Danio rerio: one gene and its partner. The protein of the gene in region 1 purifies or fractionates together with the protein of each later gene. This does not show direct contact. Links are inferred from orthologs where the notes say so. Each region holds a gene or a part of one and is shown in the gene's direction. Other genes may lie near its edges. The genes, in order: rnf19a and sod1.

The links.
Region 2: the proteins of rnf19a (region 1) and sod1 purify together in Homo sapiens (affinity purification with western blotting, with the first as the bait; 3 studies listed by BioGRID). This does not show direct contact. The link is inferred for Danio rerio from reciprocal best matches to the Homo sapiens genes RNF19A and SOD1.

Annotation. Positions count from the first base shown.
Region 1 is NC_133194.1:13,180,035-13,184,580, reverse strand, and holds the start of rnf19a (E3 ubiquitin-protein ligase RNF19A), read left to right. Parts: upstream 1-1,521; 5' UTR 1,522-1,696; coding exon 1,697-1,727; intron 1,728-4,546. UniProt on the Homo sapiens protein: E3 ubiquitin-protein ligase which accepts ubiquitin from E2 ubiquitin-conjugating enzymes UBE2L3 and UBE2L6 in the form of a thioester and then directly transfers the ubiquitin to targeted substrates, such as SNCAIP or CASR.
Region 2 is NC_133185.1:30,634,557-30,639,099, reverse strand, and holds the start of sod1 (superoxide dismutase [Cu-Zn]), read left to right. Parts: upstream 1-1,626; 5' UTR 1,627-1,694; coding exon 1,695-1,766; intron 1,767-3,323; coding exon 3,324-3,420; intron 3,421-3,959; coding exon 3,960-4,029; intron 4,030-4,543. UniProt on the Homo sapiens protein: Destroys radicals which are normally produced within the cells and which are toxic to biological systems.

The DNA of each region.
Region 1 (4,546 bases):
GACTTCAACTGTACATATAACTTAACTTCATAATTTTTTGATTAATATGAATTGGTACTATTCATACAATTTAGTACAATTTGCTCATCCCCCAGTGACGGTTGGGTTTAGGGGCGGGGTTTGGTGCCACACCTCCTTTTTAAAATGGTACATTTTCATTTGACAATTAGCCACTAAACTGACAAAAGTTGGTTTCCTCGTGAGATCAGGTTGGTATTTTAGAGTACATTGTGCTGTGTCTCTTTTCTCTCTCTCATTGAGTATGTGTGTGTTTGTGTGTGTGTGATAGAGAGAGCTTCAGTCCTTGACATGAAATGTTTAGGAGCAGAGTAGACTTTATTAATATTTATGACCCTTCCAAATATGGTCAAAACCAGCCGAATGTCATATTAGAGCCAATTCCTAGGTTGGGAAATTAACCTGTAAAATTGTTTCTGGATAATTTTTGCACCTAAGTTAGATATCTTTTATTTAGATATCCAAGAACAATTTAACACAATTTATCAAAGAATTCTATCACACTTGTTATTTGTGATACTGTGTGGCATCATTTTTAATACTTTAATAAACAGACTTGAGAAGAGGATTTTCCAGAAAGTACTAGAAATTATTGTGATGCTTAACGTAAAGCATAGGTTAATTACTAAATTAAACTAATAATAATAAAGATAATACTAAGGGGGTGGCGCGGTGGCACAGTGGGTAGCGCTTTCACCTCACAGAAAGTAGGTCGCTGGTTAGAACCTCGGCTGGGTCAAGTTGCATTTCTGTGTGGAGTTTGCATGTTCTCCCCATGTTTGCGTGGGTTTCCTCCAGGTGCTCCGGTTTCCCCCACAGTCCAAAGACATGAATTGGGTAGGCTATATTGTCTGTATAGTGTTTGTGTGTGAATGAGTGTCTATGGGTGTTTCCCAGTACTGGGTTGCAGCTTGAAGAGCATCCACTGGATAAAATATATGCTGGATAAGTTGGCGGTTCATTGTATTGTGGTGACCCCTGATTAATAAAGGGACTACTGATTTATCTCAGTAGGAACACATTTTCTTAATTTAGCTTTATTTTTGTTTTTCAAAAACATGCACAAAACAAAACTGACTGATTCAGTTCTTCTATTCTTTTTTCATTAACAGAATTAACCTTGATCCTTATAAAATAAAATATTTATTAATGAAATAAATGAATAAATAAACCGAAAATTGCATAAAGAGAAAGAAAAATGCCATTTTTTATAAACGTGTGCTTATAAACACGATGTACGTTACATGTCTGCCATAGTTCAACTGAAATTAGGCTATATTTGAATTAAATTATCATTTTTAAATATATAAATCTCTGATATAAGCGGTTTATCGAAGAATAGCTATTTATGTGTGAAAAATAAATGTACAGAAACTGTTTCATGTAAAAGTATGGTAAAACTAGGTTTTGAAACCATCACAGGAAAATCTGCCTTCCGTCTGTTCTCTTTAATTATTCTAGCTTTGAGGAATGCGCGCGCCGACTCTCGCGAGAGTAGAGTTTGAACTGATATGTGAGAAGCGAGCGAGACGGATGCCAGTGAGTCAGTACGAGCGAAAGAGCGAGCGGAGGACGGGACACACAGGACGGCCCGACTTCAGCCCGACAAAACAACTCCCAAAAGTAGCCGCCTTCCAACACCACACTCGGAGTTTTTCACCTTTATTTGTTGCCTGTAATGAAATGCTTTTACGCGGATGACTTGAAAGGTGAGTCGCTGTTGTTCTCGTTGCTATAAAAGGCTAGTTTGACGGCTTGGCTAACGGTCGTGTGTTCGCTTTCAGATTTACTCTCGCTGGCGAACGAGAAAGCCCACATTTTACAGCTTTATTTCTTAAAGACGAGTCCCACGGTTGTCCCAATACAACTAATAACCGCATATTTTGGGTTGTACGCCCGCTAGCTGGCGTGTAGGGAAGTAAAATCGCTTTAAAGGGCCTGTGGTGAGTCCGACATTAGATGGACCTTCCGTAGGCATGTAGCCAGCTATCGCATTGTCCATTTGTTTCTGTTAAGTTTAAATTCACACCTCTGTAACCAGGAAGTCTGTGGAAAAAGAAACAAATACCCAGCTTCATCGCTGAGGTAAAACGACACGAACCTTTGATCTCCATTATAACATCGATAAGGTGTTTTCCAGCTAACGTTATTGTTGAAGGCTTAGGGAGGTTTATTTAGCAACAGATTGCACGCCTAATTTGACTAAGTTATGGATCACAAATGAAATTTTCGTAGTATTTTAGTTTGTATTGACATTGTGAAACGTCTTTTTTAAATGTATATTTAATTGGTTTGTTTCCTGTAATGACTAACATGTTTGAACAAGTACACTTACGTAGAATCGAGAGTGTTTAGTTGAAAATAAGGATTTGCCCATGTTGCCAAATGCCAGTCTTATGTCATACAGTCTGAGTTCAAAGGGTGATTTAGTATGAAGATTGTCTCAAACTTCTTCGAGAGTGTGTTTTGTAGTAATAGTGAAAATGTACTAACTAGGCTCTGATGTTCAAACTTAGCTGGAAGTGGTGTGACTTAATTTCAGATCTATGGAAACTTGGTCTAGAGGTGAAAAATATTGGTTTAGCAACCACTTCCACATATTAGTCACTATTTGAGGTTTTAGGTAAAGAAATGAGTTGGGAGTGAATATAGTGACCCATCACAAAAATGAAGTGGCGTCTGTTTTGATCATTTTGGGTAGTGGTGAAATATTGGATCAGCATTTGATGTAAATCCTGCATGGAAGCAGCTTATCTTCAGCACAGGCCTCAAGAGAGGATCGTGAATTCTCTGTTTTTTGCTTTGTTTTGAATCCTCAGACAGATAGTTTTGATTAACGTTGTAATTGTTTTGCTTTGCTCATCTTATCATTTGTTTAAGTTGGCCCGTTTGCTTTTCGTTAATGCGTTGAATAAACCTGTTTGTTCGGCTTTAATTTTGGTCTGCTTTAAATTTTCACTTCCTCATCAAACCTGAGTAAAATGTTATATGAATGAATAATTAGGATGAAGGATTTAATTATGTTTTTCTGATGTCACATAAAGTGTAAGCCTAGTACATGATTTCTGTCTATATTTGTTTGAAAAGATTGTTCAGTTGGCCCATATTTAATGCTGTACAAAATATTTTAATCATTCATTTATTTTATTTTCGGATTAGTCCCTTTATTAATCCGGGGTTGCCACAGCGGAATAAACCGCCAACTTATCCAGCACGTTTTTACGCAGCGGATGCCCTTCCAGCTGCAACCCATCTCTGGAAAACATCCACACACACACACTCACTCACACTCATACACTACGGACAATTTAGCCTACCCAATTCACCTGTAGCGCATGTCTTTGGACTGTGGGGGAAACCGGAGCACCCGGAGAAAACCCATGCGAACGCAGGGAGAAGATGCAAACTCCACACAGAAACGCCAACTGACCCAGCTGAGGCTCAAACCAGCGACCTTCTTGCTGTGAGGCGACAGCATGACCTATTGCACCACTGCGTCGCCCATATTTTAATCATATTTATATAATTCTCTTTTTCTTAAACTTTGTGGTCGACGTTATATGTACACTGGATCCATGAAAACCCAATAAAAATACATAAACTGTAATATTTAAAACAAACAATTATGATTGTAAATGATTTAAAGTGTTTTTTTTTTTTTTTTTTTTTTTTTTGCTGATCTCACTGACTTGTAAGCCAAATACCTTTGCTAATATTTGTTGTTTTACTTGGAAACCTAATTAAAAGGCCATACATGCTAAATAACAGTAATTCCATGCAAATGTCAATTTTCCCATAAAAAATAAAGATTTTACCAAAACAGTGAAACCCTTTTTACATTTTTTGCTTAGGCTTGTATTTTACAGTACTGTAAAAATGCTCAAAGTCCTCTTAATGTTTTCAAACAATTATATTTGATTTTCCACATCTGTCACATCCATAACCAAGCCTTTTCCTCATAAATATAAAAAATAAAAATGAACATTTTTGGATCTATAGTAAGCCAACTCTTATTATTTTGATTAGCAGTATTTCTTTTGAATTGTGCAGTTTAATTAAAAATTCTACGTGTTTTGTATACTGTAAACTCAGACTTTTTTTGGTTACATCCACAACGCGTTTATTTTCCTTATTTAAAATATAAAAATTTTTTACAGATTCATATTGTTCTGATCTTATAATTCTGTGGTTGTTTGTTTTGGATATTATAAACGGATGTTTTAATATAATGTTAACATAATTTCTATTAGAGTTATGTTTTGAACTTTTACTGCAAATGTCACATTAATAACAATGGAATTACTCATTTGCATTCTTCAATGGCCAAAATGTTTACATTTCTTTTAATTAGCAAAATGTGATGACTTTAAGCTGCACTTTTGTCATGGTGAACTGAAAATAATTGTGATTAGATCAAATAACTGTATTTGGATGATTAGTAATTGGGACAGGCTTACTTCAGTGTCTACCAATGTGGTCTGATTTTGATCACTAGGGTAACAGACTGACTGCGGGCATTTTTCATTGC
Region 2 (4,543 bases), on another chromosome or scaffold:
TGACTGGCTTTTTTTTTTTCCAATGATATCCCTGTTGAGTTTAATATTTGGAAACGCTGACTAAAATATGACATTAAGACCCTTTTGCTGTAATGTTTTTAACTTAATGTTTACAACATTCAAAAAAAAAAAAAAAAAAAACGACACAAGATGTTTTTATCATTTTTAAGTTTTTGGAGATAGGAACTCCAAATATTTCAGCGACAGGAGGTGGTTTTAATAAAATATTTTCATACCAAATGAATGAACTGGTTTATGCAACTTGTTTTTAACATTTATTCTAGTCGTGCATTTAAAACTAATCATGAATAAAAAAACTGAGCTTTTTCTGAGCTTTTAACTATATTTAACCAGTTTTATTATGATTTGTGGTAGTTATCATGTGACACTGTACCAAAACCATTTGTAATGGTTTGAATAGGATGTCTACAGTATATGTATATGAATAGGGCATGACTGTAGAATTTGAGGATGCATGTGACCAAATGCCAAGGTCAAAGTGACAAACATGGTTTTGATATATTCCTTTTTTAAAGAATAATACTATAGGACTGTGTAATTTGAGCCAAATAACTATATGTACTAACTATTCACTCAACTTCAAGTGGTTCAATCAATGTGTGAGCTTTTTGTCTGATGTAAAGCACATGAGTATAGATATTTTAAAGAATACTGGAAACTGGTAGCCTTATATATCCATAGTAGGGACCAATTACATAAAATTCAATGCCCACCGGTTTCTAACATTCTTCGAAGATCGTTAAACAGAAGAAATTCAAACAGGTTTGCAACAGGTGGAAGGTAAGTAAATGACAGAATCTTCATATTTGGGTGTCCTGTACCTTTGAATGTACCACATAGGTAGCCAAAATAATACATGTGATGTACATTCTTATTGAAACCACTTTATGATCAGAAATATTTATACTGTAACAAATAATGAGAAAGATATTGTTATAACTTCTTTTATTGTCTGAAAATCTAAGTTTAACTGGTTTAACTTTTACTCTTACTTTTTTTTTTCAAAGTGACTTGCATTGAGCAAGAAAAGGATGTTATTCAGAAACTTCATTCATTCATTTTTCTTCGGGGTAGTCCCTTTATTCATCAGGGGTGGCCACAATGGAACGAGACAGAAACTTATTCAGCATATTTTATTACTAAGCGGATGCTGTTTCAGTACTGGGAAACAACCAAACACACTCATTCACACATACACTATGGCCAATTTAGTTAATACAATTTACCTATAGTGCATGTCTTTGTCATGTAGGGGAAACCGAAGCAACCGGAGGAAAGCCACGCCAACACATGGAGTACATGCAAACTCTACATAGAAATGCCAACTAAGCTAGCTGTAACTCGAACCAGCAATCTTCATGCTGTGAGGCGACAGTGTTAACCATTAAGCCGCCGTGTCGTAAATGTAATTAAAATGGCAAGAAAAGTGACAAGAGTTTACTTTCAGTGTCAGTTTATATAACTAATAAAATAACTAAAGTAACTGGTTCCACAAGTTCATTCAAAACGATACCTTATGACACCGTGACACGCCAGACTTTGAACCAATCAGCATCCACCGCTCTTTTCTGCCTCCTCATTGGTCGATTCCGCTCACGTGCCTCCTCTTATCAAACACAGTCGGTTTCTTTCACTCTCTCACAACTTCTCAGTTTGCATAATCTACAGTCAGCATGGTGAACAAGGCCGTTTGTGTGCTTAAAGGCACCGGTGAAGTGACCGGCACCGTCTATTTCAATCAAGAGGTAAAAAATGTCTGTTTTGATCCATATTTGAAATGACGTTCATGTAGCAGGAGAGCAGCGCGCGCGTCGAGCTAGCATGAAACTACTACGCACTCCATGATCGAGATTGAAGACGTCTGTTGTCATATTTTTACGTATGCATGATGATAGAGTAGCATGCAATTGCACGGAATTTGCTGTGCGAATGCAATGCAAATATAAATGACCGAACATGTTTAAAAACACAATGTTGAGTTGTACATCCTATTACTAATATTTTGTGCAATGTCGCATCCCATAATAAACCGCTGAAAGCAGCTCAGAAATGACCTTTGATAAGATGGCAGGTCTACGCCCCCCCATGCACGCGCAAACTAATTAACGCATATGCTTCCTCAATAGCAGACGTTAACTTACATGCAAACCTTGAACCGCCATGCGTTTGAGTTTGATATTGAGACTTTGTAGCGTAGGTTGCCTGTAGGTTCTTGAGGTATTTACTTTATCGAAAGTCTTAAGAATTTACTACAAGGGGAAAGGTTTGCTGACTCATGCTCCTCTATCTCTGTTTGCAGTCATAATTTTGCCAAATAGGACAGAGATCACAGCACGCTTTAAATGCTGATAGAGCTTATTACTGTATTGGTGTGGCATCTGAATACACATTTACTTGCTGTTAAGCGCTATTTACTGTTTGTGTTAGTCCCAAATCTCGTTATATTGTTTTAATTTGTCTTTAGCCTTCCCTATAATAATTTAATGTTTAAATTGTGAAGTTCTTCTGTATTTTATCCAGCAGCGCTTCAAGTATCTGTTGAGGTAAAGTTAGTTGTATATTTGCATATTCAGTCTTTCTCCTTAATAATATAATTTCACCAAAGAAAATCAATTAAAATTCTAAATAGTAAATCATATAATCACTTTCAAAGTACAACATTGTTCACTATCAAACTATTTGTGCTAATGTTGTTTTAAAGTTAAACTTGCGTTCATACCAAATATTGAAAGTAAAAAAATATAAAAATATAGGGGGTATTTCATAAGTTTTCACTGAATGAATGTGCGGATGTAAAACCAACTTTACCTCAATCAAGTATTCAATATGTCATCGAGGCATGTTTTGATTTTTTAAATTTATTTTTTTTATTACTCAAATCTATTAAAACAAGTTTCATGATCTTTTCTTCCATATTTTAATGTATATCTGAGTAAAATGTCTGTAACGAGGACAAAGGTTGAAGAGTAAAAAATTTTTTTTTTTCCATGAATTGATTTGAATGTTGTGGTTTTCTATTAGTTGAGCTTGGGTGATTTATGACTTGTATTGATAAACCTCTCATAAAATAAGTGACATTGCAAGAAAGCAAAATAAGCATATTGTCACTTTTGATTCCGTGTTGAGATAAACATGCAGTGCATTCCAGGTGTACATTTGGAAACAAATTGTCTGTATGATGTGTTTTGCAGCCAAGCATAACTTGGTTAACTGCGCTTTTGTTTTGTGAAATGATATGAAACCATGTTTTCTGAAGTGATATGAAACCGTTGTTAACCACACAATGGATCTGTATGTTTTAGGGTGAAAAGAAGCCAGTCAAGGTGACTGGTGAAATTACTGGCCTTACTCCAGGAAAACATGGTTTCCACGTCCATGCTTTTGGTGACAACACAAACGGTAAGGAGTGGTCAAACTGAACATTTAGCGATTATTATGGCCCACATGATGATTTATATCGCTTCATTTCTCCCCCCATTTTGTGCATTCACCACCCTATTAAATGAGATCCCAGGTGTAAACAACCTCCTTGTGAGCAAAATGCATCATAATTTCAGGTGTAAACGGGGTGTCAGGGTATGCCACTCCATTCATTAAAGCAGTGTTTTTCAACCACGTTCCAGGAGGATCATCAGTTCTGCATATTTTCCATGTCTCCTTAACCAAACACACCTGATTCAGATCATCAGCTCCAGGAACATGGTTGAGAAACACTGCATTAAAGTACAAGTTCATCCCATCAGGACCAATAACCTTGACCTAAAACCATTAGACTCCATTTTTTACCTGGTTCTGAATCCAAAGTGAAGGAGTAAACAGCTCTGAAAAGTTTTTAAATTCTCCACTTACATACTTTCATAGTGTAAGCACTTAATGCGTTTAAAGGGCCACAAATCACACTTGTGCTATTTTTATTTATTTTTTGCTCTTGATCACAGGCTGCATCAGTGCAGGTCCGCACTTCAACCCTCATGACAAAACTCATGGTGGGCCAACCGATAGTGTGAGGTGAGTTTATCAGTGTGCTCTGATACATCTGTTTTGCATGATTTACAGTATCTATATATAGTAAAATGCTAATATTTATTGTCTGTACGGATTGTCACTGAAAGCAGAAACTCTACTTGCCCTCAAAGTTGTCCCATTTACTTAAATCCTGTTTGTTTAAAAGTTGATCTGCATTTGTCGCATGGGCCTGTATCTCAATTTAGGCATGTGTGGTGTCAGAAGACAGAACATCGAATACAGGGTTTCCGCAGGGTCTTAAAGTCTCAAACTTAAAAATCGAAATTTTAGGCCTTAAAAAAATCTTTAATTTGCTGTTCTAGGTCTTAAATATTTTTGCACCGGTCTTATTTTTCCCATGTCCATGTAACACTACATCTAATGCTCATTTAAATTATTTTTTGTTGTTGCTTGGTTTTTGTGGTGTTGTAGTTGTTTATTTCAATAGTCCAAATGTGGTATAAAATGCGGTATAAAAACTACAAATGAGACCAACATGCAACAGCCAATCAGCCTA